Saccharomyces cerevisiae S288C: one gene and its partners. The gene in region 4 interacts genetically with the main gene of each other region. Each region holds a gene or a part of one and is shown on either strand. Other genes may lie near its edges. The genes, in order: TPT1, OCA1, FYV8 and ERI1.

Evidence for each region.
Region 1: mutations in ERI1 (region 4) and TPT1 together harm fitness more than expected from each alone (negative genetic interaction), as found in Saccharomyces cerevisiae (one large-scale study listed by BioGRID).
Region 2: mutations in ERI1 (region 4) and OCA1 together harm fitness more than expected from each alone (negative genetic interaction), as found in Saccharomyces cerevisiae (2 studies listed by BioGRID).
Region 3: mutations in ERI1 (region 4) and FYV8 together harm fitness more than expected from each alone (negative genetic interaction), as found in Saccharomyces cerevisiae (2 studies listed by BioGRID).

What each region holds. Positions count from the first base shown.
Region 1 is NC_001147.6:120,846-128,192, forward strand, and holds TPT1 (tRNA 2'-phosphotransferase), read right to left. Parts: upstream 5,845-7,347; coding exon 5,152-5,844; downstream 1-5,151. Other genes in the region: myo-inositol transporter ITR2, read left to right, coding at 3,156-4,985; IZH4 (Izh4p), read right to left, coding at 6,137-7,075. UniProt on the Saccharomyces cerevisiae protein: Catalyzes the last step of tRNA splicing, the transfer of the splice junction 2'-phosphate from ligated tRNA to NAD to produce ADP-ribose 1''-2'' cyclic phosphate.
Region 2 is NC_001146.8:438,067-445,607, reverse strand, and holds OCA1 (putative tyrosine protein phosphatase OCA1), read left to right. Parts: upstream 1-6,324; coding exon 6,325-7,041; downstream 7,042-7,541. Other genes in the region: YNL095C (uncharacterized protein), read left to right, coding at 1-696; 40S ribosomal protein eS7 RPS7B, read left to right, coding at 1,293-1,436, 1,782-2,210; PHO23 (Pho23p), read left to right, coding at 3,250-4,242; PLS1 (Pls1p), read left to right, coding at 4,689-4,811; Ras family GTPase RAS2, read left to right, coding at 5,038-6,006; MIC27 (Mic27p), read right to left, coding at 7,291-7,541.
Region 3 is NC_001139.9:887,039-896,270, forward strand, and holds FYV8 (Fyv8p), read right to left. Parts: upstream 5,149-9,232; coding exon 2,695-5,148; downstream 1-2,694. Other genes in the region: XKS1 (xylulokinase), read right to left, coding at 1-837; exosome non-catalytic core subunit SKI6, read left to right, coding at 1,844-2,584; SNG1 (Sng1p), read right to left, coding at 5,459-7,102; YPP1 (Ypp1p), read left to right, coding at 7,655-9,232.
Region 4 is NC_001148.4:364,878-372,112, reverse strand, and holds ERI1 (Eri1p), read left to right. Parts: upstream 1-5,377; coding exon 5,378-5,584; downstream 5,585-7,235. Other genes in the region: putative GTPase NOG1, read right to left, coding at 1-1,135; Sec63 complex subunit SEC62, read left to right, coding at 1,450-2,274; EEB1 (medium-chain fatty acid ethyl ester synthase/esterase), read left to right, coding at 2,672-4,042; PNG1 (peptide-N4-(N-acetyl-beta-glucosaminyl)asparagine amidase), read right to left, coding at 4,095-5,186; tyrosine--tRNA ligase MSY1, read right to left, coding at 5,683-7,161. UniProt on the Saccharomyces cerevisiae protein: Probable component of the GPI-GlcNAc transferase (GPI-GnT) complex in the endoplasmic reticulum, a complex that catalyzes transfer of GlcNAc from UDP-GlcNAc to an acceptor phosphatidylinositol, the first step in the production of GPI-anchors for cell surface proteins.

The DNA of each region.
Region 1 (7,347 bases), on a different chromosome or scaffold from region 4:
AGCAACCGAGAAATGTCCTTTCAAAAGCTGTGAGTCCAACCGATTCCACACCTCCGTCAACTCATACTGAAGATTCGAAACGTGTTTCTAAAACCAATATTCGCGCACCCAGAGAAGTTGACCCCAACATATCTGAATCTAATATTCTTCCATCAAAGAAGAGATCTAGCACCCCCCAAATTTCCAATATCGAGAGTACCGGTTCGGGTGGTATGCATAAATTAAATGTTCCTTTACTTGCTCCCATGTCCCAATCTAACACACATGAGTCGTCGCACGCCAGTAAATCTAAAGATTTCAGACACTCAGACTCGTACAGTGAAAATGAGACTAATCATACAAACGTACCAATATCCAGTACGGGTGGTACCAACAACAAAACTGTTCCGCAGATAAGTGACCAAGAGACTGAGAAAAGGATTATACACCGTTCACCTTCAATCGATGCTTCTCCACCGGAAAATAATTCATCGCACAATATTGTTCCTATCAAAACGCCAACTACTGTTTCTGAACAGAATACCGAGGAATCTATCATCGCTGATCTCCCACTCCCTGATCTACCTCCAGAATCTCCTACCGAATTCCCTGACCCATTTAAAGAACTCCCACCGATAAATTCTCATCAAACTAATTCCAGTTTGGGTGGTATTGGTGACTCTAATGCCTATACTACTATCAACAGTAAGAAAAGATCATTAGAAGATAATGAAACTGAAATTAAGGTATCACGAGACACATGGAATACTAAGAATATGCGTAGTTTAGAACCTCCGAGATCGAAGAAACGAATTCACCTGATTGCAGCTGTAAAAGCAGTAAAATCAATCAAACCAATACGGACAACCTTACGATACGATGAGGCAATCACCTATAATAAAGATATTAAAGAAAAAGAAAAATATATCGAGGCATACCACAAAGAAGTCAATCAACTGTTGAAGATGAAAACTTGGGACACTGACGAATATTATGACAGAAAAGAAATAGACCCTAAAAGAGTAATAAACTCAATGTTTATCTTCAACAAGAAACGTGACGGTACTCATAAAGCTAGATTTGTTGCAAGAGGTGATATTCAGCATCCTGACACTTACGACTCAGGCATGCAATCCAATACCGTACATCACTATGCATTAATGACATCCCTGTCACTTGCATTAGACAATAACTACTATATTACACAATTAGACATATCTTCGGCATATTTGTATGCAGACATCAAAGAAGAATTATACATAAGACCTCCACCACATTTAGGAATGAATGATAAGTTGATACGTTTGAAGAAATCACTTTATGGATTGAAACAAAGTGGAGCGAACTGGTACGAAACTATCAAATCATACCTGATAAAACAGTGTGGTATGGAAGAAGTTCGTGGATGGTCATGCGTATTTAAGAATAGTCAAGTAACAATATGTTTATTTGTTGACGACATGATTTTATTCAGCAAAGACTTAAATGCAAATAAGAAAATCATAACAACACTCAAGAAACAATACGATACAAAGATAATAAATCTGGGTGAAAGTGATAACGAAATTCAGTACGACATACTTGGCTTAGAAATCAAATATCAAAGAGGTAAATACATGAAATTAGGTATGGAAAACTCATTAACTGAGAAAATACCCAAATTAAACGTACCTTTGAATCCAAAAGGAAGAAAACTTAGCGCTCCAGGTCAACCAGGTCTTTATATAGACCAGGATGAACTAGAAATAGATGAAGATGAATACAAAGAGAAGGTACATGAAATGCAAAAGTTGATTGGTCTAGCTTCATATGTTGGATATAAATTTAGATTTGACTTACTATACTACATCAACACACTTGCTCAACATATACTATTCCCCTCTAGGCAAGTTTTAGACATGACATATGAGTTGATACAATTCATGTGGGACACTAGAGATAAACAACTGATATGGCACAAAAACAAACCTACCGAGCCAGATAATAAACTAGTCGCAATAAGTGATGCTTCGTATGGCAACCAACCGTATTATAAATCACAAATTGGCAACATATATTTACTTAATGGAAAGGTAATTGGAGGAAAGTCCACCAAGGCTTCATTAACATGTACTTCAACTACGGAAGCAGAAATACACGCGATAAGTGAATCTGTCCCATTATTAAATAATCTAAGTTACCTGATACAAGAACTTAACAAGAAACCAATTATTAAAGGCTTACTTACTGATAGTAGATCAACGATCAGTATAATTAAGTCTACAAATGAAGAGAAATTTAGAAACAGATTTTTTGGCACAAAGGCAATGAGACTTAGAGATGAAGTATCAGGTAATAATTTATACGTATACTACATCGAGACCAAGAAGAACATTGCTGATGTGATGACAAAACCTCTTCCGATAAAAACATTCAAACTATTAACAAACAAATGGATTCATTAGATCTATTACATTATGGGTGGTATGTTGGAATAAAAATCCACTATCGTCTATCAACTAATAGTTATATTATCAATATATTATCATATACGGTGTTAAGATGATGACATAAGTTATGAGAAGCTGTCATCGATGTTAGAGGAAGCTGAAACGCAAGGATTGATAATGTAATAGGATCAATGAATATAAACATATAAAACGGAATGAGGAATAATCGTAATATTAGTATGTAGAAATATAGATTCCATTTTGAGGATTCCTATATCCTCGAGGAGAACTTCTAGTATATTCTGTATACCTAATATTATAGCCTTTATCAACAATGGAATCCCAACAATTATCTCAACATTCACCCATTTCTCACCTTCAGCTCAAATCCTCATCCCGGAACCTTTTTTCTTATTTGTTCCCTCTTCTACTACAAGAGCTTTCAAATTGTAGTCAAAAACCCGCTTTACTAAAAAAACATCGCCAAAAAAATTTCCAAAATCGCTCGTCTTGCCACTAAAAGTATGCAAAATATTATGTGAAGCAAAGTTATTTCGTGTCTTCCGCCTAACAGAACGTAAGCAGTTGACCATACTTTAGTATAGAGTACGAAAAAACACAAAGAATACCTTAATAAAATAAACATTGTCGTTCGCTAGGAAAACGGTAACGAAAACAAAAAACTAAAAGAAGAAAAGAGGCAGGACGCAGTAAAAGCAAGAAAACTGCTTTTTTTTCATGGCTGAAATGAAGAATTCGACAGCTGCTAGTTCCAGATGGACGAAGAGTCGTCTCTCCCATTTCTTTCCCTCGTACACTAATAGCAGTGGTATGGGGGCCGCCTCAACTGATCAATCTTCTACGCAGGGAGAAGAACTGCACCATAGGAAGCACTGTGAAGAAGACAATGATGGTCAAAAACCGAAAAAGTCTCCCGTATCCACCTCTACAATGCAAATAAAATCTAGACAGGATGAGGACGAGGATGACGGTCGAATTGTCATTAAACCAGTTAACGATGAAGATGATACATCAGTGATTATAACTTTCAATCAGTCAATATCCCCTTTTATTATTACATTGACATTCGTTGCGTCCATTTCTGGGTTCATGTTTGGTTATGATACTGGTTACATATCGAGTGCGCTAATTTCTATCAATAGAGATTTAGACAACAAAGTTTTAACTTATGGAGAAAAAGAATTAATTACGGCCGCCACATCATTGGGCGCTTTGATTACAAGTGTGGGCGCTGGTACTGCTGCTGATGTGTTTGGAAGAAGACCATGTTTAATGTTCTCCAATCTGATGTTTTTGATCGGAGCAATTTTACAAATTACCGCGCACAAGTTTTGGCAAATGGCGGCCGGTAGACTGATTATGGGTTTCGGTGTCGGTATTGGTTCTTTGATTTCTCCTCTTTTTATTAGTGAAATTGCTCCTAAGATGATCAGGGGTAGGTTAACCGTTATAAATTCCCTATGGCTGACAGGTGGTCAATTGATTGCTTACGGTTGTGGTGCGGGCCTGAACCACGTCAAAAACGGTTGGAGAATCTTAGTTGGTTTGTCCTTGATACCTACTGTTTTGCAGTTTTCTTTTTTCTGTTTTTTGCCGGATACACCAAGATACTACGTAATGAAAGGCGATTTAAAGAGAGCAAAAATGGTTCTCAAACGAAGTTACGTAAACACTGAAGATGAAATAATTGATCAAAAAGTTGAAGAATTATCTAGCTTAAATCAATCGATACCAGGAAAAAATCCAATAACAAAATTCTGGAATATGGTCAAGGAATTGCACACTGTGCCTTCAAATTTCAGAGCTTTGATTATTGGTTGTGGTCTACAAGCCATTCAACAATTCACAGGTTGGAATTCCTTAATGTATTTCTCCGGTACAATATTTGAAACTGTTGGATTCAAAAATTCTTCTGCCGTTTCTATTATTGTCTCAGGTACTAATTTTGTGTTCACATTAATAGCATTTTTCTGTATTGATAAAATCGGCCGTAGGTACATTTTACTGATTGGACTACCTGGTATGACTGTGGCGCTGGTTATATGTGCTATAGCGTTCCATTTCCTAGGTATTAAGTTTAACGGTGCTGATGCAGTAGTGGCATCTGATGGATTTTCATCTTGGGGCATTGTCATTATCGTATTTATTATTGTGTATGCAGCCTTTTATGCCCTCGGTATCGGCACTGTTCCATGGCAACAATCGGAATTATTTCCACAAAACGTCAGAGGTGTAGGGACATCCTACGCTACTGCCACCAATTGGGCAGGTTCTTTAGTCATTGCGTCTACGTTCTTGACTATGTTACAAAATATTACACCAACGGGTACATTTTCATTCTTTGCCGGTGTAGCATGTTTATCAACCATTTTTTGTTACTTTTGTTATCCAGAACTATCAGGATTGGAGTTAGAGGAAGTTCAAACAATTTTAAAGGACGGATTCAATATCAAAGCCTCTAAAGCTCTAGCTAAAAAGAGGAAACAACAGGTGGCCGAAGGTGCTGCCCATCATAAACTCAAATTCGAACCTACACAGGAAATTGTAGAAAGTTAGACTGCTACACCAACAAAAAATAAAAGATAAAGAACAAAAAAGAAGGAAGAAAGCTATAAAAGGGAGACAATTCATTTCATCTAATCTTAAAAGTTTTTATTTAAATATATAAGTAAGAGCGAAGTATTTAAAAATAAAAATTCATAAAAGTTGAGCTTGATGAAAGTTATATCTTTTCGAGCGGTATGTTTCTTTCGTGTAAAATTCTTCTTAAAGTATCTAACTTCTCCTCATCTTTCAAGTTTCCTTTAACTACAACTTTTTGGATCAATTCAACGGGAATACTGCTGCTTAAGTAAACATTATTGAGCGACCTGAACATTTTCAAAGTTTGAAAGAATAATGGAGAATGGCAGTCGATGAAAATATAGACGTTACTTGAAGAACGCATTCCACTAATAACTCCCTTCGCGTGCAACATCCCCGGCGATAAATGGACATGATTTCTACTCATTGGTGATATTGCTCCGGATTCAATAATCTTTATGACAGATTGAAGATTTGTTCCATGAATTAGTTCCTGTGGTAACTGCGACGCTTCAGTAATTGGTACGAGAACCTCATCTGATGGCTGAATCGATTTGATTGAATGTCCCTGAGTAGCACAGATCCATTCTTCGTCCGCTCCTAACGTTTTTATATGAAAGCGTTGTTTGTCATTTTCCTTAACAATGCGATGGATATCATCCACCGTACATTTATGAGTTTTCAATCTATTATGAGACAATAGTTCTTTCAGCGGTGTATAACCGTTTGAGTCAATAGTCAACTTTTCTTTCACCGCTGTATGTCGAAGCAGATATGATAAAGCTTTGGAAAGCTGTACATCCCTTTTATCTTTTTGTAGTACCTGGCGCATTGTCAAGTCCACCTTTCCCAGTCATTCTGCTCAATTCTGTAATAATGTATTATGCATTTTGCCATTATTTTGATGAGCTTTCCTCGCGTCACGGTGTCAGTAAAAAAGAACAAATACATCACGAAGACAGAAATACGGACAAGAACCGCAGAAGACATTAAAGTCAAAACATGAAGCTTAATTCAACTCGTGTAAGTATCTTTAAAGGAGATACACTTCCCATTCTTGAATTATTTTTTTATTTAATTTGCCTTATTTATTCAATTATTTATTATGTGAGCACCAGCTGAGTCTAAGACTTGAAATTAATTAATTCGGGCTGATTCAAACTTGAATGCATCAAAATATAAGATTGAATCAAAATGAAAAAATGGTAAAAAGCCGTACCAGAAATCAAGAGATGGAAAAGGTACTCGGAATGATTCCAACCTTCTTCCTTTTTATTTCGTCTGAACAATGATTCAGGGAACCTGGTAACGTAAATTATAGATGCCGCTACCAAAGCCACAAGTTCCCACGTAATTGCGTTCACTTTTATCCTCTCTTTCAGGTTTTCTAAACCATCAAAGGTGATTATTGCGGTTAATAGTGGCAAGGAACAACACACTACTGATACCGAAATGAAGAAAACTGTTTTATTGAATCTTTTCGAGGAAATGAGTTTGTCCGTCAATATAAAAAAGTATGCCACTAATCCTATGAAGTTCATTAAAAGGGTAAAAATTTTGAAGAAAAACACGTAATCATAGAATAGATAATAAAGAATTGTGATTTGTGATGATATCAATAAGTTGATATTCGATAAATACGAAAACTTCTGCCAATGTTCGAGATGTTGTTGTAGAGAAATATTTTTGACGAAGTGATAAATGAAATGCACCATACAAAATACAAAAACGTTCAATAAATAAAAATTGAATACAATGTAGTCTGTCATTGTAGTGGTGGTGGGGAACAAAGGTATCAAATAAAAGTCCGTGAAAAATATTAGGAGACAAAATGACAGCATCGAACCCAAGAGATATATTAGTGCTACTAGTGACTCGTTCCTACTGGATTTATTTTTGTACTGTTTCTGCAATTTTGCCAAGTCATGGAATGGAAAACCCTTCTTTGTTTCTTTTGTCTCTGCATTCTCGTTCGAATCTGTCCCCCTAGTATCATTGCTCTCTTTCTCAGTGGTTGTCTCGCATTTGACTGGGCTTTGCTCTATTGTAGTCAATGAAACCATACTGTCAATATATATGTACCTTTATACCAATATTATATGCGCTGACAAGAACTTTAAGAAATTAATTTCCTTTTCTACTTTTTTTCATTTTTATTTTACTTCTGCGTCCATATATCCGGACCATATATATGAGTGTAAATCATTTAGCTGTTGACACCATTGAGTATTTACAATTAAAACCAATTGAGCTCAACAGGCTTGCGTTGAATAATGTTGAGCTGCCCAACGAGCCCTTTTCTCGCGGAGTGCTGTCCGAATTGTCCGAGTTTTTA
Region 2 (7,541 bases), on a different chromosome or scaffold from region 4:
AACCTAACCAGGATCTTAACATCAGATGCCACTGTAAGTAAAAAGGATATTGAAACATCCGGCGAATCATTACCACAGTGGATGAGAAAATTTTCATTAACTCCATTACTTGTGTTTTTCCTAAAGAATTGTTTGAGACCGTGCTCTATGGCCGTGATCATCGCCCTAACTGTTGCATTTATCCCATGGGTCAAGGCTTTGTTCGTGACTACCGCTAATACTCCTCACATAAGCCAAGCTCCTGACAATGCACCACCATTAAGCTTTTTCATGGATTTTACAGGTTATGTCGGTGCCGCATGTGTTCCATTTGGGTTGATATTATTAGGAGCAACTTTAGGAAGATTAAAGATTGGCAACCTTTATCCTGGATTTTGGAAAGCCGCTGTGACACTCGTCATTTTGAGACAATGTGTCATGCCAATTTTTGGTGTCCTATGGTGTGATCGGTTAGTGAAAGCTGGATGGGTTAATTGGCAAGATGATAGAATGCTACTATTTGTTATAGCAATCAGCTGGAACTTGCCAACGATGACTACCCTTATATATTTCACCGCCAGTTTTACGCCGCCAGAAACAACTGCGCCAATCCAAATGGAGTGTGTTTCATTTTTCTTAATGCTGCAATACCCGCTAATGGTTGTTAGCTTGCCATTTTTAGTGTCTTACTTTCTGAAAGTACAGATGAACCTTTAGTTTTAATCCATTAAACAAAAAATTATTACCACTCCTAATCACTGTTTTAGGGTGGGTTAAAATTAACATTCTCCATTTTTATATAGAACTAATAAAAAACACCTACTTATAGACACGACCAAACTTTCCACAACCTTTCATCAGAGAGAAATGTTGATCAAGTTGAATGCGTGAAAGTAGCAATTCGAAACAACAACTACCTGTCATTCTGCATAGTAGTAGTTACGAAAGGCACAGAAAATAACAAAAAAAAAAAAAAAGTCAATTTTCTACGGTCTCCATCCGTACCTCTTTAAATCCGTACATTATTGTTTTGCTTAATTTCAATATTTCGGAAAAAGCGAGCGCCCTGGTAAAATGTGGTTCAAGCCTGCGAGCCTTTGCTTGGTAACTCACCAAATGCAATTCAGTCACGTTCCACACAGTTTGGGTTTCCAGCCTGGCTTTAGGGAAGAATGGGCTCACTAGGCGTTCATAATACGCGGAGGGGGAAATACCAAATGCTATTGATTATGGTTAAAATATGTGTTATTTGACTTTGTATATACAAACAGAAGAGAAACCAACACACTAAAGACTAGACACATAACTGACCAATGTCCTCTGTCCAATCCAAGATCTTATCCCAAGCTCCAAGTGAGTTGGAATTACAAGTCGCCAAGACCTTCATCGATCTAGAAAGCTCCTCTCCAGAACTAAAGGCTGACTTGAGACCATTGCAAATCAAATCTATCAGAGAAGTATGTTAAAAGTTATATAATTTGGAAGCAGCAACATTGTGATTTCTTCTAAAGGGGTTCTTTGCAGTAATTTTTTCAAAAAAGAGTGATTTTGAGCAGTATCTGTATGAAATTTTCATGTGTTCGAGAAAAATAGTAATTCCGAGAGCTGTCAATACCATGAACGTTGCGATGAGCCTTTGAACTATAAAGGCCTCCTTGGTCAGTACCAATATCGATGAATAAAATAGAAGCACGCGAAAAAGACCTTACCCCAAGGAGAAGAATCACAAACCCTTTTTTGTTATGAATGAACCAATTCAGTTACTAACTTTATTTCAACGCTGCTTGATTCTTATTGTTTAGATTGATGTCACCGGTGGTAAGAAAGCACTAGTCCTTTTTGTCCCAGTTCCAGCTTTGTCTGCATACCATAAGGTCCAAACCAAATTGACCCGTGAATTGGAAAAGAAATTCCCTGACCGTCATGTTATTTTCTTGGCTGAAAGAAGAATCTTGCCAAAACCATCTAGAACATCTAGACAAGTCCAAAAGAGACCAAGATCCAGAACTTTGACTGCTGTTCACGACAAGGTTTTGGAAGACATGGTTTTCCCAACTGAAATTGTCGGTAAAAGAGTTAGATATTTGGTTGGTGGTAACAAGATCCAAAAGGTTTTGTTAGACTCCAAGGATGTTCAACAAATCGACTACAAGTTGGAATCTTTCCAAGCTGTCTACAACAAGTTGACTGGCAAACAAATTGTTTTTGAAATTCCAAGCCAGACCAACTAAATAGTGAGATAACTATCATTCTCATCATTTGTCATACTTAAAGAAAATAATATTAAGAAAAAATAATAAAAAAAGAAACATAGTTATGAGAATACAAAAGGAGGTTTCCAAAAAGTGGGCTTTTTTAATTCGAGTAAAATAATTATGAATGTATACTTAAATATATTTTGTATCTGTCAATATAGAGATGCTTTAATTGGTGTTTTGACATTTTGGAATACATATTGGGTTGATTTCCCAAGTTCTCGCTGCAATCAGATAAAAAGGAAAAAAAATAATGGTTGCTAAGAGATTCGAACTCTTGCATCTTACGATACCTGAGTATTCCCACAGTTAACTGCGGTCAAGATATTTCTTGAATCAGGCGCCTTAGACCGCTCGGCCAAACAACCACTTATTTGTTGAAGAAAAAGCATTATTTATCGCTAGACAACGATACGTCCATCAACAACCGTTAGTTCTTTCACATTGATATGCGGATTACTTATCTGAAGGAAAGGAAAAAGGCGTGGAACAAGTGAGCATTAACATAACCATCTGAAATCTTAGATGATCCCAAGTATGTGTAATTAGATCCGCCTCTTCGCCCAGCACATTGTCCATGCATTATCTGCTTACCTCTACGCGTACCTTGACATGGCGTGTTACGTGTTTCAACTTTGTATAATCAGAATTTCATTTGAGTATATTTTACAAGTCAAAAGCCCAAATGACGTATACTTGAAATAATTGAGGCACGTCCAATTGTGAGTGGCAAACCTTTTTTTCGGTATTCTAGATAGAGCTAATCGCGTATTTGCAATTATAGTTTACAATTCTTAGACGATTTCCGAAGAAAGTTAAAAATGCCCTTGAAAAAAAAATATGTAGGAAAGAGTGCATGCACATGAAGAAGAAAGAAAGAGCTAGGGAAAAAACGAAAAAGGAGCCTAAGGAAAAGAGTTAGGCGTTTACAACAGGACGAACCCGGAAGGAGAAAAGTTTGTAGTCTTGCAGTATCACAAACAGCAACCACGTTCATAGTCTGAAATACGTACAAATGAGTTCACCAGCGAACCTATTCCCTGGATTAAACGACATAACTGACGTGCTGGAGGAATTCCCACTGGCCACCTCCAGATATTTAACATTACTACACGAAATAGATGCAAAATGTGTGCATTCTATGCCGAATTTGAACGAGAGGATAGATAAGTTCTTGAAGAAAGACTTCAATAAAGATCACCAAACACAAGTAAGACTGCTCAATAATATCAACAAGATTTATGAAGAACTGATGCCATCGCTGGAGGAGAAAATGCATGTCTCATCCATTATGCTGGATAATCTAGACAGATTGACGTCCCGGTTAGAATTGGCGTATGAAGTCGCAATCAAGAACACAGAAATTCCTAGAGGTTTAAGACTGGGTGTGGACAACCATCCAGCAATGCACCTCCATCATGAACTAATGGAAAAAATAGAGAGCAAATCAAACAGCAAATCGTCGCAGGCACTGAAGAGCGAATCAAGAAGAGAAGCCATGGCTGCCAACAGGAGGCAGGGCGAACATTACTCCGCCAGCACACACCAACAAGACGACTCAAAGAACGACGCAAACTACGGAGGCAGCAGGCACGAGAGCCAAGACCACACTGGTAACAACACAAACTCAAGAAAAAGAGCCAACGCTGCCAATACCAACAACGCCGATCCAGAGACCAAAAAACGCAAGAGGAGAGTTGCCACCACAGCCGTTTCACCAAGCACTATCAGCACGGCAACTGCCGTCAATAATGGCAGGATAGGTACATCTACAGCGTCCAGGGGAGTTAGCAGCGTCGGAAACAGCAACAACAGCAGGATATCAAGACCAAAAACCAACGACTACGGCGAACCGCTCTACTGCTACTGTAACCAAGTGGCATACGGGGAAATGGTGGGGTGTGATGGCGCAGACTGTGAGCTAGAATGGTTCCATTTGCCATGTATTGGACTCGAAACTCTACCTAAGGGCAAGTGGTATTGCGACGACTGCAAAAAAAAACTGTGAAATAGCTCTCGGGCGAATATCGCCTTAAGGAAATATCTACTAAATACCGAATATATACATATATATATATCTTAGCTACATATATATATATCTTAGCGTTTTAACGGGCGTGGCCGTATCAATGGATCTGCAAGATACTTGGGCCCTACCGGTCTAGATAAAATATTCAAATCGATGGTGATGACGGCACGATAAAACGTAATAAATGATGAAATGACTTGTCACGGCGTAGCAGCGCCAGCAGCTCAGTCTAATCGCCGTACAGTGGGTGGTGTGGCTAATCGCTTAGGCTTTTTATTCAGAAGGACCTTTTCATTCACCTCGCCCCCCTTGGAGGTTCCTGCCTGACCCCTTTGCCCCTGGCCTCGCCCCTGCGCCATGTCTCTGCCTGGAGCGTGACATTTAGGACGGTGAAGCTAGGCAGGCCTTCAGAAATTAAACGGAACATGACAGCAAAGACGAAACAAAGCTGGAATAAGGGGATCTGGGAAAACGGGAAACAAGGTTCACATCAGCAAACATTTCTACCGAAAATCTGGGTAAACATTTATAGTACCCCAACATCTTAAGTTTTAGCCGTTGTCTTCTCTTATCGCCTAGAATCGCTCATTTCAAGCGTAACGCAATCCGGCTTTTGTTTTTTTTCCATTTTATTCATCCACTCTTTATCTGACTCTTCTGCACTATATTAATCAACTAGGAGAAAATTACTTGAGCAGAAAGATACGAGAGAATTACGGATAAAAAAACCAAGTTAACCGTTTTCGAATTGAAAGGAGATATACAGAAAAAAAAATGCCTTTGAACAAGTCGAACATAAGAGAGTACAAGCTAGTCGTCGTTGGTGGTGGTGGTGTTGGTAAATCTGCTTTGACCATACAATTGACCCAATCGCACTTTGTAGATGAATACGATCCCACAATTGAGGATTCATACAGGAAGCAAGTGGTGATTGATGATGAAGTGTCTATATTGGACATTTTGGATACTGCAGGGCAGGAAGAATACTCTGCTATGAGGGAACAATACATGCGCAACGGCGAAGGATTCCTATTGGTTTACTCTATAACGTCCAAGTCGTCTCTTGATGAGCTTATGACTTACTATCAACAGATATTGAGAGTCAAAGATACCGACTATGTTCCAATTGTGGTTGTTGGTAACAAATCTGATTTAGAAAACGAAAAACAGGTCTCTTACCAGGACGGGTTGAACATGGCAAAGCAAATGAACGCTCCTTTCTTGGAGACATCTGCTAAGCAAGCAATCAACGTGGAAGAGGCGTTTTACACTCTAGCACGTTTAGTTAGAGACGAAGGCGGCAAGTACAACAAGACTTTGACGGAAAATGACAACTCCAAGCAAACTTCTCAAGATACAAAAGGGAGCGGTGCCAACTCTGTGCCTAGAAATAGCGGTGGCCACAGGAAGATGAGCAATGCTGCCAACGGTAAAAATGTGAACAGTAGCACAACTGTCGTGAATGCCAGGAATGCAAGCATAGAGAGTAAGACAGGGTTGGCAGGCAACCAGGCGACAAATGGTAAGACACAAACTGATCGCACCAATATAGACAATTCCACGGGCCAAGCTGGTCAGGCCAACGCTCAAAGCGCTAATACGGTTAATAATCGTGTAAATAATAATAGTAAGGCCGGTCAAGTTTCAAATGCTAAACAGGCTAGGAAGCAGCAAGCTGCACCCGGCGGTAACACCAGTGAAGCCTCCAAGAGCGGATCGGGTGGCTGTTGTATTATAAGTTAATAAAAAGGAAATAGTTGTAGAAACGCTAAGACGAAAAGAACTCTATAAAGTTGAAACGAGTACACACATTTATAAATATATACAAAAGTAAATAAAAAAGTGACTGTTTTTATATTGCTTATTGCCATTTGCTATTTCCGTTTCATTCTTGTTAACATTGGAAACTTTGGGCAATATCATATGGTTGCCGGGTAAAGGAAAAAACAAACAACATCGCTATAACATAAAATTGGACATTGCAGAGAGTCATCAATCACATCCATTTTCACAAGAAAGAGGTGTTCCACCTGGAATAACAAGCTTCTCTTTCCCCTTAGAATGACATCTAAAGTTGGTGAATATGAGGACGTTCCAGAGGATGAGTCCCGCCTCACAGAAGAGAACGTATCCGTACCTGAAGAAGAAGTAGAAGACGAAGACGAGGAAGAAGACGACGATGATGATCATATATATATCAATGAAGAAACAGAATCTGGTCGCGAAAAGGTCTTGGTATCACATGCCCCACAAGAACGTATCGTTCCACCTTTGAATTTCTGTCCCGTTGAAAGATACCTCTATAGATCTGGTCAGCCTTCACCTGTGAATTTCCCCTTTTTACTAAACCTAAAACTGAAAACAATTATATGGCTGTCTAACGAAGAACCTCAAGATACCCTCCTAGAGTTTTGTGATACTCATAGAATAAACTTACAATTCGCAGCCATCAACCCGGATGCCGGTGAGGACGATAATCCATGGGACGGTCTCACTGAACATTCTATAATTAATGTACTACAAACGATCGTCACTCAAGAGAATTATCCCTTGCTAGTGTGCTGTGGTATGGGAAGACATAGGACTGGGACAGTCATTGGATGTCTCAGAAGAATAATGGGTTGGAACTTAGCCAGTGTATCCGAAGAATATAGACGCTTTACTGGTAGCAGAGGTGGTAGAATTCTTGTAGAGTTGCTTATAGAAGCTTTCGACACTAATTTAGTAAAAATAGACAAAAATAAAGCACCAAGTTGGTTACTGACAGCTTTGGAGTAGAGGCAAGAAAAAAAAAATGCAAAAGATAAAGAAAAAGCACTGAGCTTTATGACCATTTACCTAAAGTTTGAAATGTTTCAGGATGCACGGCCCATTCGCGAACCAACTTCTAAAGATCACACGAAATGAAATTCAAAATAAATGAAATTTATTTAATGGGTAATTTTATAGAATATTAATTATCCGATTTATATATGGACATACTTACTATGGACATGATAATGAACAAAAAAAGATATCCGCTTGATATCATGCTTGCTCCAACTTTTCATAAAGCTGTTCCCTTGCATACCTTATATTTTTTTGTAATGTCTGATCGATTTGACGTTTTAAATCACATTTCTTGGCAACATATCCTTCCTCATAAATTCGTTTCCAAGTATTGTGATATGACTTGACGAAATCAGCTGGCAGTAAATCATTTTCAGTGGCATTGACCAAATTCTGTGATGTCTGTGGAGCCCAATACTTGAATGTAGCTGCTGCCAATACCCATGGTA
Region 3 (9,232 bases), on a different chromosome or scaffold from region 4:
TTTACAGATGGTACCCGCTATCAAATTTTTCATGGGTGCTCTCATTAATTTTTGTCTGATAGTTTTATCCTTAGAAGAACTATCAATTAGATGTAGTAGCTCATCACTGAATTTTCTTTCACGTATATCATAAAGGTTCATACCACAGGCATCTGCCTCCTCTAATTCAACAAGATGGCCCACTAAGATAGAAGTCAAAAAATTAGACACTAAAGAAATGGTCTTTGTTTTTTCGTAAGCTTCTGGTTCTAATTGTGCAATTTTCAGAATTTGAGGACCAGTAAATCTAAAATGGGCTCTGGACCCTGTTAATTGAGCCATTTTTTCAGGCCCACCTATGCACTCTTCAAACTCTTGACATTGCTTTGCAGTACTGTGGTCTTGCCAATTGGGGGCGGTTTGCCTTGCAAATGCTACAGAGCTCACGTAGTGCAATAAATCTTTTTCCGGTTTCTTATTCAATTGCTCTAACAGAGATTCGGCTTGGGAGGACCAGTAGACAGACCCGTGCTGCTGGCAGGACCCTGAGACGGCCATAACTTTGTTCAATGGAAATTTAGCCTCGCGATATTTCGAGAGAACCAGATCTAGAGCCTCTAACCACATGGCTACGGGACATTCGATAGTGTCGCCGTGTATATAGACACCCTTCTTTGTGTGATAATGCGGAAGATCCTTTTCAAATTCCACTGTTTCTGAATGGACAATTTTTAGGTCCTGGTTAATGGCGAGACATTTCAGTTGTTGGGTCGAAAGATCAAACCCAAGATAGTATGAGTCTAAAGACATTGTGTTGGAAACCTCTCTTGTCTGTCTCTGAATTACTGAACACAACATTAAAGTACTAATCTCATCCTCCTTTTGTTTTTCTCGAGAGGGCCCCCTTATTCGTCCGCCTGAGATTGCATTGGCCGAATTGAAAAGTGACAGTTATGCACCTCAGCGGCTATTCCCTGCGTCGCTTGCTGAAGATTGAGGATTATAGGAAGTAGTAAGCTGGAAATGGTAATTTGTAAAAAGAAAATTTCTAATACTGTGACAATGTTATTAAATCGGGGTTGTTTTTGTTTGGGGCGGCCAGCGGAATAATTTGTTTTCAAGGACAGCAGAAGCTCAGAAGAACAAAATCTCCGTGATCTTTTAAACTTTTTTCCATTCTGATGGAATAATGGTCTTGATCCCCTAAATATTTCCTTTTTTATTGCAATTATGATAGAAATTAATAGTAGTCTATGCTGGATGATATATATATCTCTTTTGAGCTTGCTTCAAATTTTTTCCCGTTATAATGATGAGTGTTTTGCTTATTAAGGGTCTAGGACATTTCTATCAGTTTCTATACCAAAAGAAGAAAAAGTGGAGAATTGTTTGTTTATTTTAATATTTTGTTCTTTAGTTTTAAAAATTCAGAAGAGAAAAAAATTTTATTTGTCACAAGGAAATAAAACATAAACAAAAAAGAAAAATTAAGATTTGCAATTCTGCCGCTTAAGCAAAAGTAGATCATTCACTGGAATATATATATATAAACGCATTTATAATCTTGTAACGTGCACTCAATTTAGCTACGAAAGCCAACCAGCAAGGAACCTTTTATTTGAGTAGGTACATTTACATCTTCGGGTAACGCGGTGAAATTGAAAAATTTTAAGGCATTAATAATTGAAAAGCTAGAAGAAATGGATGAATGAATGACATTGCGAACCATTGTGCAATGAACATCATCCAAAAGAAAACATCATTTACACATATTTTCTTTCCAGGGTCCCACTGGTAAAATCTATTAACATATAAAAAGATTTACAAAAAAACTTTAGTGCCATAACTACAGCAGGATCATCATATGTCAAGACTAGAAATATACTCGCCAGAAGGGCTACGTCTCGATGGACGTCGATGGAATGAACTCCGCCGTTTTGAAAGTTCCATCAACACACATCCGCACGCTGCAGACGGTTCATCCTACATGGAACAAGGTAACAACAAAATTATCACTCTTGTTAAAGGTCCAAAAGAGCCAAGATTGAAATCTCAAATGGATACCTCAAAGGCTTTATTGAACGTATCGGTAAACATTACAAAATTCTCCAAATTCGAAAGAAGTAAATCAAGCCACAAGAATGAAAGGCGTGTTCTTGAGATACAAACCTCCCTGGTGAGGATGTTTGAGAAGAATGTCATGCTGAATATCTACCCCAGAACAGTTATCGATATCGAGATCCATGTCCTTGAGCAAGATGGCGGTATTATGGGATCTTTAATCAACGGTATTACCCTCGCTTTAATAGATGCCGGTATATCAATGTTCGATTACATAAGTGGTATATCCGTCGGGCTGTACGATACTACCCCATTATTAGATACCAATTCATTAGAAGAAAATGCTATGAGTACAGTGACACTAGGTGTGGTAGGGAAGTCAGAAAAACTTTCTCTTTTATTGGTGGAAGACAAAATTCCGTTAGATAGGTTAGAGAACGTTCTTGCCATCGGCATCGCAGGTGCTCATAGGGTAAGAGATTTGATGGATGAAGAACTGAGGAAACATGCTCAGAAAAGAGTCAGTAACGCCTCTGCTAGGTAGAATAAAAAACGCCATTAATTGCCACTGTTTATATAAAAGTACATAAAAAACAGTAAAATTGAAAATTGAACGCATTTACATTTTCGTGTTTCTACCGTAAAGCAAAACGCTTACAGTTTTTTCTTACCTATTGATGCGAATAAATCCTTTGGTTTCATAGAATGCTGGAAAACTTTTCTCCTTAAGTGCGTTACATTTTGGTTGACACTAGCAACCGTGTTAATGACAGTATGCTTCTTACTCAAATCGTCCGCGTTCGCATATGCTTCCCTAACGTGACTATGCTGCTTATACTCCTCAGCTATGAAATCCTTATCCTTATTAGAGGATGATTTTAGCGTATAATTTATCCATGTTTGTATCCCCGTATCATATTCATCTAGCTCACGCTTATAATTTCTCAACTGTTCTATCTTACCGGCGTGCGAAGTCTTACTGTTCAGTAGTTTATTCATATCTAATTTCGGTAAGTTATTCTGCTGCCCCAATTTCGCCATTTCTTCAGTACTGGGTTCATGGACGCTTGTCATTTCGCCTTGAGATACTGTTCTGTTTTCACTTTTGAAAGATGCACTGCGCGCTGCCAAATCATTGGCAGTATTGTTACTATTATCATTATCTGTTGTACTATTATCGTTTCCTGCATTTAATTGTTCCTGTGCGTCCATCGGTAGAGGTGGCAAATTCGATTGGTTACCAATCAAACCGGGAACATTATAAATCGTATTGTTGTCGTATATAGTCTTAGTGTCCCTGATTGTCTCCAAATCGTCATCTTCGCCTTTGGAAGGGAATGCATCCCAAGTACTCTCCATCTCTGAATAAGTCGATACAACACGTGGTTTCATACTAGCAGGTGTTAAATCTACTAGCTTCCCGTTAGAATCGATCACGTAACCTGGTGGCGCTTTCTTATTGGCTGTATCCTGTACGAACCCTGATCGTAAGGCCTCACTGTCCGGCTTCCAAGAATCAACATCAGTGGAGTCTTTAACTGAACTTTCTTCCAAAACTTTGTCTTCATTTATGTGGTCTTCCTCATCGCTGCCATCGCTGTTTTCCAATTCAGAACCGCTATTTGACAAATTGGTATTTTCAATGGTGTCTATTTGATTAGGTTGCAATGCTGAATCACCTTTATCATCATTACCAATCATTTTGGAGAAATAACCTGATTTGGGCGCCTTGAGACTGCCTTCATCTGAATCAGAGCTCATACCTTTTTCCTCCTCCTCTTCATCACTCGTAAGTAGAATGGAACCTTTTTCCCTATTAGAAAATTTATAGCTATCTGTATCTTCATTTTCGTCTTCTATGGATTCATTATCTTCGTTTTTGTCTTCTATGGATTCATTATCTTCATTATCTTCTTCTTCTGTCTCATTTGTCGAATATTTTATTGATTCGGTATACGACAATGCATCATCGTCAGTTGTATCAAGTTGTTTCGATTGCCGGTTAATATCAGCATGTTTATCACTAACCGAAGATCGATTATCATCATCACTACTACCACTGTTGCCTTCGTTGTTATCATCTTCTTCAGAGTCTGACGAATGCTGATAATCATTGAAAAAAGAATTTCGATATCCATTATCACTAGTTTTTGTTTCATTTGCTACGGGTTTCGGCTTTGCTACTTTATCTTGCCCACTAGATGTAGAGTTCCTATTCCTAATACTAGTCTTTTCTTCACTTTTTTCTTTCTTTTCCAAAGCTCCTGAGCTCTCGACTTCACCATCATCTTCTTGTTGTAAATTCTCCTCTTTCTCCGCAGGCAGAATATCTGCAAGGTAGCCTCTTTCGGAAACTTTAAACTCGTCGTCTTTCTGCTCAGAAACATCGCCATCACTACTCAAATGTTCATTTCCATTCCTTGTTGGCGTATTGAAAGTGGTATCAGCTTCATTAGTATCCATTGAAACCCCTAAGGAATGTGATTTTTCATCTTCTTCTACAGGAGATGATGAAGAGGGTACCGCTTCCCCTAATGGTGCTTCGTTTTGGATTTCGTCACAACTGTCTGAATCACGCCGAAAATCAGATGTTTGCCTAATTTCTGGTGTCATCTCCCTTGATATTTGCTCTATCAAATTGTCTAGGTCTTCGTTTACAGCCCTATTTGTATGTGGTGATTTTTTGTTTTCACTTGGACTTTTCAAAGATGCTGTCGACGAAAGATAATCTGATTTGGAGTGCTCGCTGGATTTTTTCGCTTGTAATTCCACAGACTCTCTTGAAGCCATAAGTTTAGGCACCCCATCTGAGAGATAGCCTACTTCCTTGTCACTAGGACTAATATCACTCTTACTGACGTTATTATCATTGCTGTCTTTATTTTCACCCGTATTTTCATCATGCTCACCATTAACATCTGTATAATTGAGCTTGGGTAAACTAGGCAAATTAGATATTTTTTGCTTGTGAATTTCTGAACCTTTTGTGCCATCCTCGGAAGAGTAGTCATATTCGTCACTACTGTCCCATCCAGCGCCGTCATAACTTGCTTGAGATGCGCTAACCCATCTATACGATTTCTTTCTACCGACCTGTTCAGTGCTCATAATAAATATCCGCTTTCCAGAAAAAGGGTAATGATCAAACAGTCCCTTTTAACTATAATGCAAGTTTTGTGTTTACCTTGTTAACCATGTATGAAAGTGGTATTTAGGAATACTTTTAAGTGCCTTACAGAATTCTTGGCATGAGAAAAACAAAATAGCTACCCGGAATGAAACACTAATGTGTCACCAAACAAACAAACGACGTTATATAATTGTTGTGATATTTGCATCTTCATCTTATGATGATGAGAATATAAATAATTTTTAATCGTATTAAGTGTATATATGAATAAGCTATTAACCCTACCCATTAATTTCCGGGCGGGTTGTTATTTTTATCAGTATTGGCCTCTGCCGGGCGGCTAGCACGCTGGGTAGCTGCTGCGACAGCGGCTTCTGCTGCTTGCATAGCATTTTTTTGCATTTTTTTACCTGCAAACTTCATACAAAATGGCATCAAGGATGTATTGAGGGCAACCCATGCCACGAGAATACCGTAATTTCTTCCCATTTTTCTTTTGGTTAAATTCAAAAAAATCACTTTATAGATATCCACGGCATTATGGATTGGCATTATGTAGCCGTACCTGTAAAATTCGTTGTTCAAAACCATTGGGTAGAATGAAGCAGAAATATTTAATATGATCCACGTCATCAACCAAATACTCAGGTATGGAGGGCAGTAAGCTATAACTAAGCTGAGAACGTTTTCATTGGCACCACCAACAGCCATCATTACCAACCACGTAGACATCCAATATACTACGAATCCTCCTCTGCCAAAGGCGGGGGTGAAATCGATCCTAAAAATTGCAGATACGGTACAGAATCCAATGGAAAGAAGAAAATAAGTTGCCCAGGAAATTAGAAGCCTGTAGATTAAAATATGCTTTGGCTTCAGAACTCTGGCCATTTCTCCGTGCAACTTACCATATAATGACAGTTGTAAAACGGTTAACAAAATACAATAAATCAGACCGACCTGCAGAGGGGCCATTAGAATACGATCAGCAAAGGGACGATAATCGTTGTAGGTGAACAACAACTGTCCTGCAATCGCCCAGTTCTCCATGTTTATATTAAGATCTCTGTCATTAGAAGTGATGTTGCTCATCAATGAGGGAAGATATTCCTTGACGTAATATTTCTGAAGGCGGACCTCCAATTGTTGCATGAGTGGTAGAATGGTCGATTTAACACTCGATGGGTCACGACCACTTTCAAACACGGATTCAAAAAAAATTGATGAATTGAACTCCGAGTTTGCGTCTTGGCTAATCAAAGAATTATACAAAGTGTCTGTAGCATTAGGTTTAACGTTTAACGCCAGCCAGTATCTCTCATCGTAAATTAAATCGACTATCTTTCTGTCAATTTCGGTGGAGTTCGTCGTACCAAATTTCCTATGAAATGATGTTGCGTTGTATATATGCCATGTCCCGGGGACAGACGCTAACAATGAGGGTATGATCGCGGAAATAGATTGAACTGAAGTATTAGATGGCGCATCCTGCAATACAACAATATTTTTCACTTTGAAAAAGTAACGATCTGTTCCGTAACAGGCACCCCAGTAAATCGATATGAGCGATACACACACACAAGCAATGAAGAAGTTGTTCAAAACAAACTTCGAGAGAATCTTTTTCCTATGATTTCGCAGTCTTGGAGAAAAAAGCCCTGTTTGAATTCTTGCCAAGGGACCGCCGTCGTTACCGCCCTTCTCTTCCTCATTAGCGCCACCTTCCCCCACAGATGACAATGAGGACGGCTTTTCATCAGGAGGCCGATAGTCTTCTAATGACTTTGCTAAGTCAGAAGAATGGCCGGAACCCTCAGCAAATCGCTGATTACTGTACGAAACCCCGTCCCTGCCGCCAGTAAATGCAGCTGCTGCTGCAAAACTAGGGTCCTCAATGTACTGTGACTCTTCATCACCAACCGATTTAGTCATATTTGTTCTCTGTACGGCTACTTACACTTATGTCAGTACCCGATTCTTACGGCGTATAAAAGATTAAAGAAACAGGATATGTGGCTTGATATATACAAAAAAAAAGAACGATATGGAGTACACTATGTATCTCTCAACAATGCTAAGATATGAAGACGCTTATTGACTACGCCAGTCCGTTTTCCATTCCCTTCTTCGAATAGGGTGGCCCGTTGATGACAAAGCTGCGAGTCATCTATCATCAAACAAACTCACGGCTTTCGCTTTTCTTTAGTCTATTTCGGATTGTACCACCTCCTCGGACATTCATAAAAGGATTCGAAAACGAATAACCACGCATATACACGGAAATAGGAGAAAACTAAACGGGAATCGGTTTATTTTTTTCTCAACATTTCTTTTTCCTGATTTTCCATCCTTTTCGAGATCCACCTATTGTGGTGAAAAATAACGAAAATATGTGCTTTAGGTGTGCAAGGCATAATGTGTGGCATACTGGAAGGAACAAGTTGAACACGCCAGCTGGAAAGAAGTTCAATACCAACTTGCCCAATGCCTAACTCAAATGTTCGGATTCCTCCTACTGTTCCATCGAAGATAATAGATGTGGTCGACCAAGCGCTAAGAGCGCGACTCTTAGGTGGCAGCACCTTCAATTCAGGGTTTGATAGTTTAGATTCCGTACTTAACTTACAGTTTAGACTACATTACCATGTTATTGGATCGAATGGGCCTGCAAAACCAGTTTGTGATGTTTTACTGAAGGAAAGTCAAAATTTAGAAAAGAATATGAGTATGATGGAGGAGTTGAATGACTATCCGGAGATTACAAAACTAGTGGAGAAAATTCTGTTCAATTGCCTCGGTATTCTTTTCTTCCACAGGGGCCAATTTCAGGAATCGCAGCGGTGCTTGCTGCACTCGTTGAAAATTCATAATAACACTGCATCGCAAAAAACAGCACTTATGGAGCAGTATGATAGGTATTTGATCGTAGAAAACCTGTACTACCGTGGTCTAGTTTCGCAAGACATAAATATCATGCAAAATGTTTTTTACAAAGAACTACTGGCCCACGTGGATACGATCCCTCCCGAATCAAACGGTCTTCTTTTCGAATACATCAGCTTGATCGTCGCAAAACTCAGGTTCAATCAAATTCAGGATTTAGCAGAAAATTTTAAAACTACCGTCGAAAATCCTTTTATTCTTTTCCTTTACATGATAAAGAAGTTCCAGTCACCTCTCAAAAAGCACATTGATAATGATGATCTTTATTTGAAGTTCGGACAGAACGTTTTGTTGAAGGCCAAATTTCCTACTGCTAGTGAGACAAATGATGAAGCTTTGGAGCATTTTAATGTCTTTTTGCAGTATTATTTCAAATTCACTCACATAAAAAAAATAAAAGTGAATCCCAGTTGGTATAATTTCATAATATCTTCAATGGAAAAGACTTTTCAAAGTATTGAAGTTTCGAAAACAGCAATGTTTCTTTTCCAAAACCTAAGCGATAACAGTAATGACGAAATAAAGAAGAAGACATTTAAAAGAGAATCTATACTAAATTTTGTTAATTTTGTGAAATACAACGACAAGTACTATCAACTGCACGATAACTCCCACCGTGACATAATTTCATTCATTGATGCGTATTCTTTTATTTTACAAAACTCCTCCAAAACCGATTCAATCGAAAATGTTTTTGATTACGATAATACGGTATCTACGTTTGCGACTTCCTTGAATTCCTTCTACAAAGAATATAATTTGCCATTAATGAGCCAATCAGAATCTTTAGATTGGCTAGAAAACAGCACCAGATGTGTATACCCAGGAAACATTTCGAAAGTTCTAACAAATGCGTGGTCAACATTGTACGAAATCAGAAAATATCAGTTAGATTTTCTTGTATCTAATAATTTGACTTCATATCTATGTAATGCAATGATGCTGTCCACAAAAGAAAAAGACAATGCTGATGTAGAAGAGCAGGAAGAAGGAGAGGAGGAGAAGGCATTACGTGAATTACAATTTAAATATTCTTACACTCTAGCACAACAGAGGCACATTGAAACTGCAATCAAGACTCTAGAATCATTGATATTAAGTAAAAACCCAAATTACTAC
Region 4 (7,235 bases):
GGATAAATGGTGTTCTCTTGACATCATCTCTTGCTTGAGGTTGAGCAACATGAATCTTGTTCAGAACATTGTTGATTCTAGACTGAGATTTCAACTTATTCTCAATTCTAGAAGCCAATAGTTTTTCACATGCTTTGTTTCTAACTTCCATAACGTTTTCTTCCAGTTGGCATGAAGAAGTCATGATTTCAACACCTGGAACCTCCTTAACAGATTCCAGTAATTGTGCACGCTCTTCGTCTAAATCCTCCGGTCTGATAATGTCGGTTTTGTTGATAACAACCATGACAGACTTGTTGGCGAATAGAGGCTTGATGGAGTGGAATAGTTTAACTTGAGCTTCGATGGTGAAACCACATTGTTCGGAAAGATCCATGAAGTACAAAACACAAGAACGTAAATGGGCAATGGCATAAATCGATTGCATTTCAATGTTGTTCATTTCTTCAGTGGGTCTATCTAGGATACCAGGGGTGTCAATAGCTTGAAATCTCAAGTATTTGTAGTCAAAATGACCAACGTATAAACTCTTGGTTGTGAAAGCATATGGTTGAACATCGACGTCTGATTTGGTAATGCATCTCAAAAACGAGGACTTACCGACATTTGGATAACCACAGATCAGCAAGGTTCTGGTATTTGGGTCGATCGATGGTAATCTACCAATGTGCTGTCTGACTTGTTCCAAATAGGCCAATGGGTCCCTCAATTTCTTGACTATAGTTGCCATTCTACCTAAAGCGGCCCTTTTCAATTGTTTACATTGAAATAAAGATTGACCGAATTTTAGCAATCTGACATAATCTCTGGCGACTTGTTCCACAAGGGACTTCGCACGAGATATAGCTGCCAAAGATATCTTGTAATGATTCTTTTCGTATAGGGTGTCCATCAAATCTCTATGGAAAGGATGCACGTCATTGATGTTAGGAAAACCCTTTAAAATGTCCTCAAATTTTTCCACGAAACCTTCACCTGTGTATTTAACTTTACGCATATAGAACGCTCTGATTCTTGTAATCTTGAAACCAGGTCTGATCACAGTTGGTGTCTTTCTCTGGGTTCTGTTCAAGACAATATCCAGCAAATCATTTGCTGGAGCGACAGTAGGGATATCCTTCCATGAAAGTTGCATCTTCGGTATAGGAGGGAGATGTGTTTGCTTTTGGAGGGTACACTTACTTTTTTATAAACGCTGCAACTCCTAAATCTGAAGTGTATTCTTTATATTGTATTAGATGAGGTAGTACATAGGTGAAAATTTTTCTTTGCGATGAGCTGCGGAAAAAACTTTTCGTTCAGTTGAAAAAAAAAAAGAAAGTGAAGATCGTGTGCGACGGAATAGACGTGTCGTTTTCCCAATACTGGCATACAAATCAAGAGGGAGAAGAGTGGGCTTTTATAATTGCAGTTGAATGCAGTATGGTAGCCGAGCAAACACAGGAGAACATGTCAGCCGTAGGTCCAGGTAGCAATGCAGGTGCTAGTGTCAATGGCGGATCTGCTACAGCCATTGCTACTCTTTTACGCAACCATAAGGAGTTGAAGCAAAGGCAGGGTTTATTCCAGGCCAAGCAGACAGACTTCTTCCGTTACAAGAGATTTGTTAGGGCACTGCATTCTGAGGAGTATGCCAACAAATCTGCAAGACAGCCAGAGATATATCCAACTATACCTTCTAACAAGATCGAAGACCAGCTTAAGTCACGTGAAATCTTTATTCAACTTATAAAGGCACAAATGGTGATCCCAGTGAAAAAATTGCATAGTCAAGAATGCAAAGAGCATGGATTGAAGCCAAGCAAGGACTTTCCGCACTTGATTGTTTCGAATAAAGCACAATTGGAAGCCGATGAATACTTTGTTTGGAACTATAACCCTAGAACCTACATGGATTACTTGATCGTCATTGGTGTCGTGTCCATCATATTGGCGCTCGTATGCTACCCATTGTGGCCGCGCTCCATGAGACGCGGCTCCTATTATGTGTCTCTGGGTGCCTTCGGCATCTTAGCAGGCTTCTTTGCTGTCGCTATCCTGAGATTGATATTATATGTTTTGTCATTAATTGTCTACAAAGATGTTGGTGGGTTCTGGATCTTTCCCAACCTGTTCGAAGATTGCGGTGTACTAGAGAGTTTTAAGCCACTTTACGGTTTTGGTGAGAAGGATACTTATAGTTACAAAAAGAAACTGAAAAGAATGAAGAAGAAACAAGCCAAGAGAGAAAGCAATAAGAAGAAAGCCATCAATGAAAAAGCCGAACAAAACTGAACTTCCATTATCCTGTATAGCTCTACTGTATAAACCTTCTATATTGTAACCTCATGAACTCGCACATGTACAAACCTTCAAGAGAACCGGCACCAAAGCGCTACCATCTGGTTGCTTCATCGCTTATAGTGAGTAGTTTTAGATTTGAAGGTTATCGCTCCTGGCAAAAATCTGAATCCACACACCGCATAATTAGCGGTTATTATTACTCAATTTCCGGCCGGCTTTAATATACTTTCACCGAAAGGTCTCTATATAGAAGCTATTTGCTGACACTTGCTTACAGGAATCGATTATATAAGAAGGGTTCTGCATCTGGTTGCCTACTTAGTTTTCGGTATTTTTGAAGATTAGCAAAAAGATCAAGATATCAAGTATTTTCATATTTGTCATTTTAATGTTTCGCTCGGGTTACTATCCAACTGTCACTCCTAGCCATTGGGGCTATAACGGCACCGTCAAACATGTACTGGGAGAGAAAGGAACCAAGTCTTTGGCTTTCAGAGATTCTAAGCGCCAAATTCCTCTTCATGAATTCGTAACCAAACACGTGCCTACACTCAAAGATGGTGCAAATTTTAGGTTAAACAGCTTGCTTTTCACAGGTTACTTACAGACCCTTTATTTGTCAGCCGGTGATTTTTCCAAAAAATTTCAGGTATTTTATGGAAGAGAGATTATAAAATTTTCTGATGGAGGGGTCTGCACTGCAGATTGGGTTATGCCTGAATGGGAGCAAACATATTCATTAAATGCTGAAAAGGCTAGTTTTAACGAGAAACAATTTTCGAACGATGAAAAGGCCACCCATCCAAAGGGTTGGCCTCGTCTTCACCCGAGAACTAGATATCTATCCTCTGAGGAACTTGAAAAATGTCATTCTAAGGGTTATTCTTACCCTTTAGTGGTAGTACTTCATGGTCTTGCAGGGGGAAGCCATGAGCCTCTCATCAGGGCATTATCTGAAGATCTATCAAAAGTCGGTGACGGTAAATTCCAAGTGGTAGTCCTTAATGCTAGAGGTTGCTCAAGATCTAAAGTCACCACCCGTAGAATCTTTACCGCATTACACACAGGTGATGTGAGAGAATTTTTGAACCACCAAAAAGCTCTATTTCCGCAAAGAAAAATATATGCAGTCGGAACATCATTTGGAGCAGCCATGCTAACGAACTACTTAGGTGAAGAAGGAGATAACTGTCCATTAAATGCTGCAGTCGCTCTCTCAAACCCATGGGATTTCGTACACACTTGGGACAAGTTGGCTCATGATTGGTGGTCCAACCATATTTTTTCTAGAACTTTAACACAATTTCTAACAAGGACTGTCAAGGTTAATATGAATGAGTTGCAGGTACCAGAGAATTTTGAGGTTTCGCACAAACCGACAGTTGAGAAACCAGTCTTTTATACGTATACCAGAGAAAATTTGGAAAAGGCTGAAAAATTTACAGACATATTAGAATTCGATAATCTTTTCACTGCCCCATCGATGGGCCTGCCGGACGGGTTAACATATTATAGAAAGGCCAGTTCGATAAATAGATTGCCTAATATCAAAATCCCAACTTTAATAATCAACGCAACGGATGATCCAGTTACAGGTGAAAACGTAATTCCGTACAAACAAGCTAGAGAAAATCCTTGTGTGTTGTTATGCGAGACTGACTTGGGTGGACATTTGGCTTATCTCGACAATGAAAGTAATTCCTGGTTAACAAAGCAAGCTGCCGAGTTCTTGGGCAGCTTTGATGAGTTAGTTTTATAAATATGTTCTTAGATAAAATTCCTTACACATAATAATCTGTTCTTTTATTTCTCTATTTACCATCCTCCCCACGCTGTGCTTTCCAATCCGCCGATCCACTTTCTCTACCACGATTAGATGATTTCGAAGCGGCACTGACGCTTTCGGATTTCGTTTCTTGTGTCTTTCCTCTAATCAGCTCTATCTGTTCCTGCTCATCGCGACATGCAAGTTGGTATATCTCGTCATCATTTAACGAATACCTCAACCTCTTCGTTATAAATTGACAAAGGAATTTTAAATCTTCTTCCTTGATTTGATCTCTGGGCAGCTCGTTTTGGAGGATATAGCGTTTACTAACGTCAACAACGCCATCTTTACCGAACGCAATACAGTAACTCATTTTCTTGTTCCAGTTAATTGAATAGATATATGGTTGGTCGAATGATTGCTCACAGGAGTCGACATGAACCCACCTATTCAAAAAATTTGAAAAATATTCACACCAAACATGATCTTCTCTATTCCAGACGTAGCGAACATCTAACCCAAACGACTTCAAAATCAAAGTAAATAAATTGCACCATTCACCGCATCTTCCCTTTCTAGTTTCCAGCAACTTAATTGGATCGTTATAACGAGGAAATCTAGTGATATTTCCGCATCGGTTGCATTTATAGATCTCAACAGTTCCGCAATTGAATTTAGATTCCTCTCCATTGGGCCCTTGACTGCCCAGAGGTGTCATATTTTCTGAAGTGTTCTGGCCACAATGATTACAATCTGGTTTATTGCACCATTTGAAAAAATCTTGTTTGAAGTAGCGAAGCAGCTCCTTTACTAGATAATCCGTGTATATATTTTCCCCCTCTGCATGCCCATCTTTGGCAAATTCCTTATCAACATTTTTATATATTAGATCCAGATCCAATGTCTCCAGGACTATAGAATGCCATGAAGGATTGTCATAGACTGTACAGAGATGTTGACTCTGACCTAGGACTCCTTGTGCGAATTGATTTGTATGGACTAAATTCTGAAACCTTATATTCTCTACAGGTGCAGCTTTCTTGAATTTAGACAGTATGAAATCCTTATACTTAATTAACAACATTTTGGCTATTGAATCAAAATCTATGTTATTTTTTTCGTATACCTCTCCCATTGCTACTCCACCTGTTACCTTCTTCAGGTTGTTTTACGTCTTCTATATCTGTTCCCAACGCATCCTTTTTTCTTCGCTACAATACAAGGAAGATTACACTACGCAAAGTTTCGAAAACATCAAGAAGCATAGAACAGTTGAAACTAGGCAACAGGACTGTTTCAATTACATGATTGAGAATTTATAAGCGCATGAGACCACGTGACCAAGGCTTTTTGGTTTTAGGGTTTACTTACTCGGTACTCCTAATTAGTCTTGCTACATTTTACTGGTTACGCAACAATGACTCTTTCCTGCACTACTGGTGTGTATTACTGCTATGCCCTGCGACTCTCTGGCTGTGGGCCCTCATAGCCTGGTGTGACAGTGAAATGTTCGCAAGTAGTAAAGATGAATAATCGTTTATAATCTTATTTACAAGTCAGTGCATAAAATGATATAATATCACCTCACGCATGCCTATTTTATACATGTACTTTATATACCTCCCTTTTTTTTAACGCATTTCTATTATAAAACACTTCTGCTTTCCTATCCTCAAGATCAGTACTCGATCATCTATCAGGAAAGGAGCCAAGTTAGAAATATTTTCGTTTACTTTAGATTTTGAATGATGCAGATACACGCTTCCCTGGGAAAGTTTTCTTCTGGCTTCTGATACTGAACAATTTACTAGTTTACAAATTAACTTTATTAAGTCAATCTCTCTATCAGCATACTGCAAAATTCTGGCTTTTTTACATAGATCAACTAACTTCGCAGCAGATAAAGTTCCGTCATAACGTCCAAAAATAATATTAGAAAGCGCTTCTGAATCCGATCCGGAGCCAACTCCATATAACATATCTGTGACTTCTTTAGCCAATAAAGTTTGGCCATAACGTAGACTGGGTGATTTGATATGCGTTTCCACAATTTTTTTGATTTCACTTGAGTTTAAAAACGTAAAGATCTTCAAGAACTTGGGTACATCAGCATCCAAAGTATTATAAAAGAACTGGTAAACATCATACGCCGTATTGATTGAGGGGTCAATAAAAACAGCATTGCCTGCACTTTTCCCAAATTTCTCTCCTGTAGCCGTCGTCAACAAGGGCACAGTGATACCAAATGGCAAACCCTTATTCTTTATAGGCTGTATCCTATTGATGAGATCGATACCGGCTGTTATATTTCCCCATTGGTCGTTACCACCTACTTGTATAGTCACATTCTCTTCCTTATACAAATGGTAAAAATCGTACGCTTGTAAAACTTGGTAAGTAAATTCGTTAAATCCCAGACCATTTTTGGTTTGAAGCCTCGAAGAAATTGAATCCCTCGCCAACATAGATTGTACCCGAATGTGCCTACCAAAATCAGCTAAGAAATCCAACATTTTGATGTCTTTCCACCAGTTGAAATTATTCCTTGGTGTATATTTTCCGGAAGGTACATCTTCAGTGAGAGCACATCGGTTTCTGTAATATTCTAGGCCATTTTTGAAAAACCTTTGTAATTGCTGCGAGATGGATGCCACATTGCTTTGCCTAATATCGTTCTCCATAACGTCTCTTTCTGTTTTCCTACCACTTGGGTCCCCAACTTTCCCTGTAGCTCCACCTATCACAGTGACAATGTCGTGACCTTTTACGTAAAAGTGTAATAAAACCATTAGTGGAACTAGATTTCCCAAATGAAGTGACTGAGCTGTGGGATCCACCCCGCAGTATAATTTGATCTTATCGTTACCGTTCAACTTCGTCCGAAGGAAACTCTCTGGCTGTGAGACCTGGGACACTAGACCCCTTTGTTTGAGTTCGTCTAAAATATTATCGCTTCGAGAATCCGATGTGCCCTGTACTTCTAAAGCACTAGGCTGTGAATAAAATCGAGATTTAGGCAATGTTATTGCACTTAGTCCGGAATAAGTCACCAGAGGCACAAGTCTCCTACTACTATTGACCAAATTACTACAACTTCGTAATTCGAGCATGATTCACAATGTCTACCTGTAGATTGCTGTGTTCAATCGGAAACTGGAAATTCTTTCTTAACATTATGAGCCAA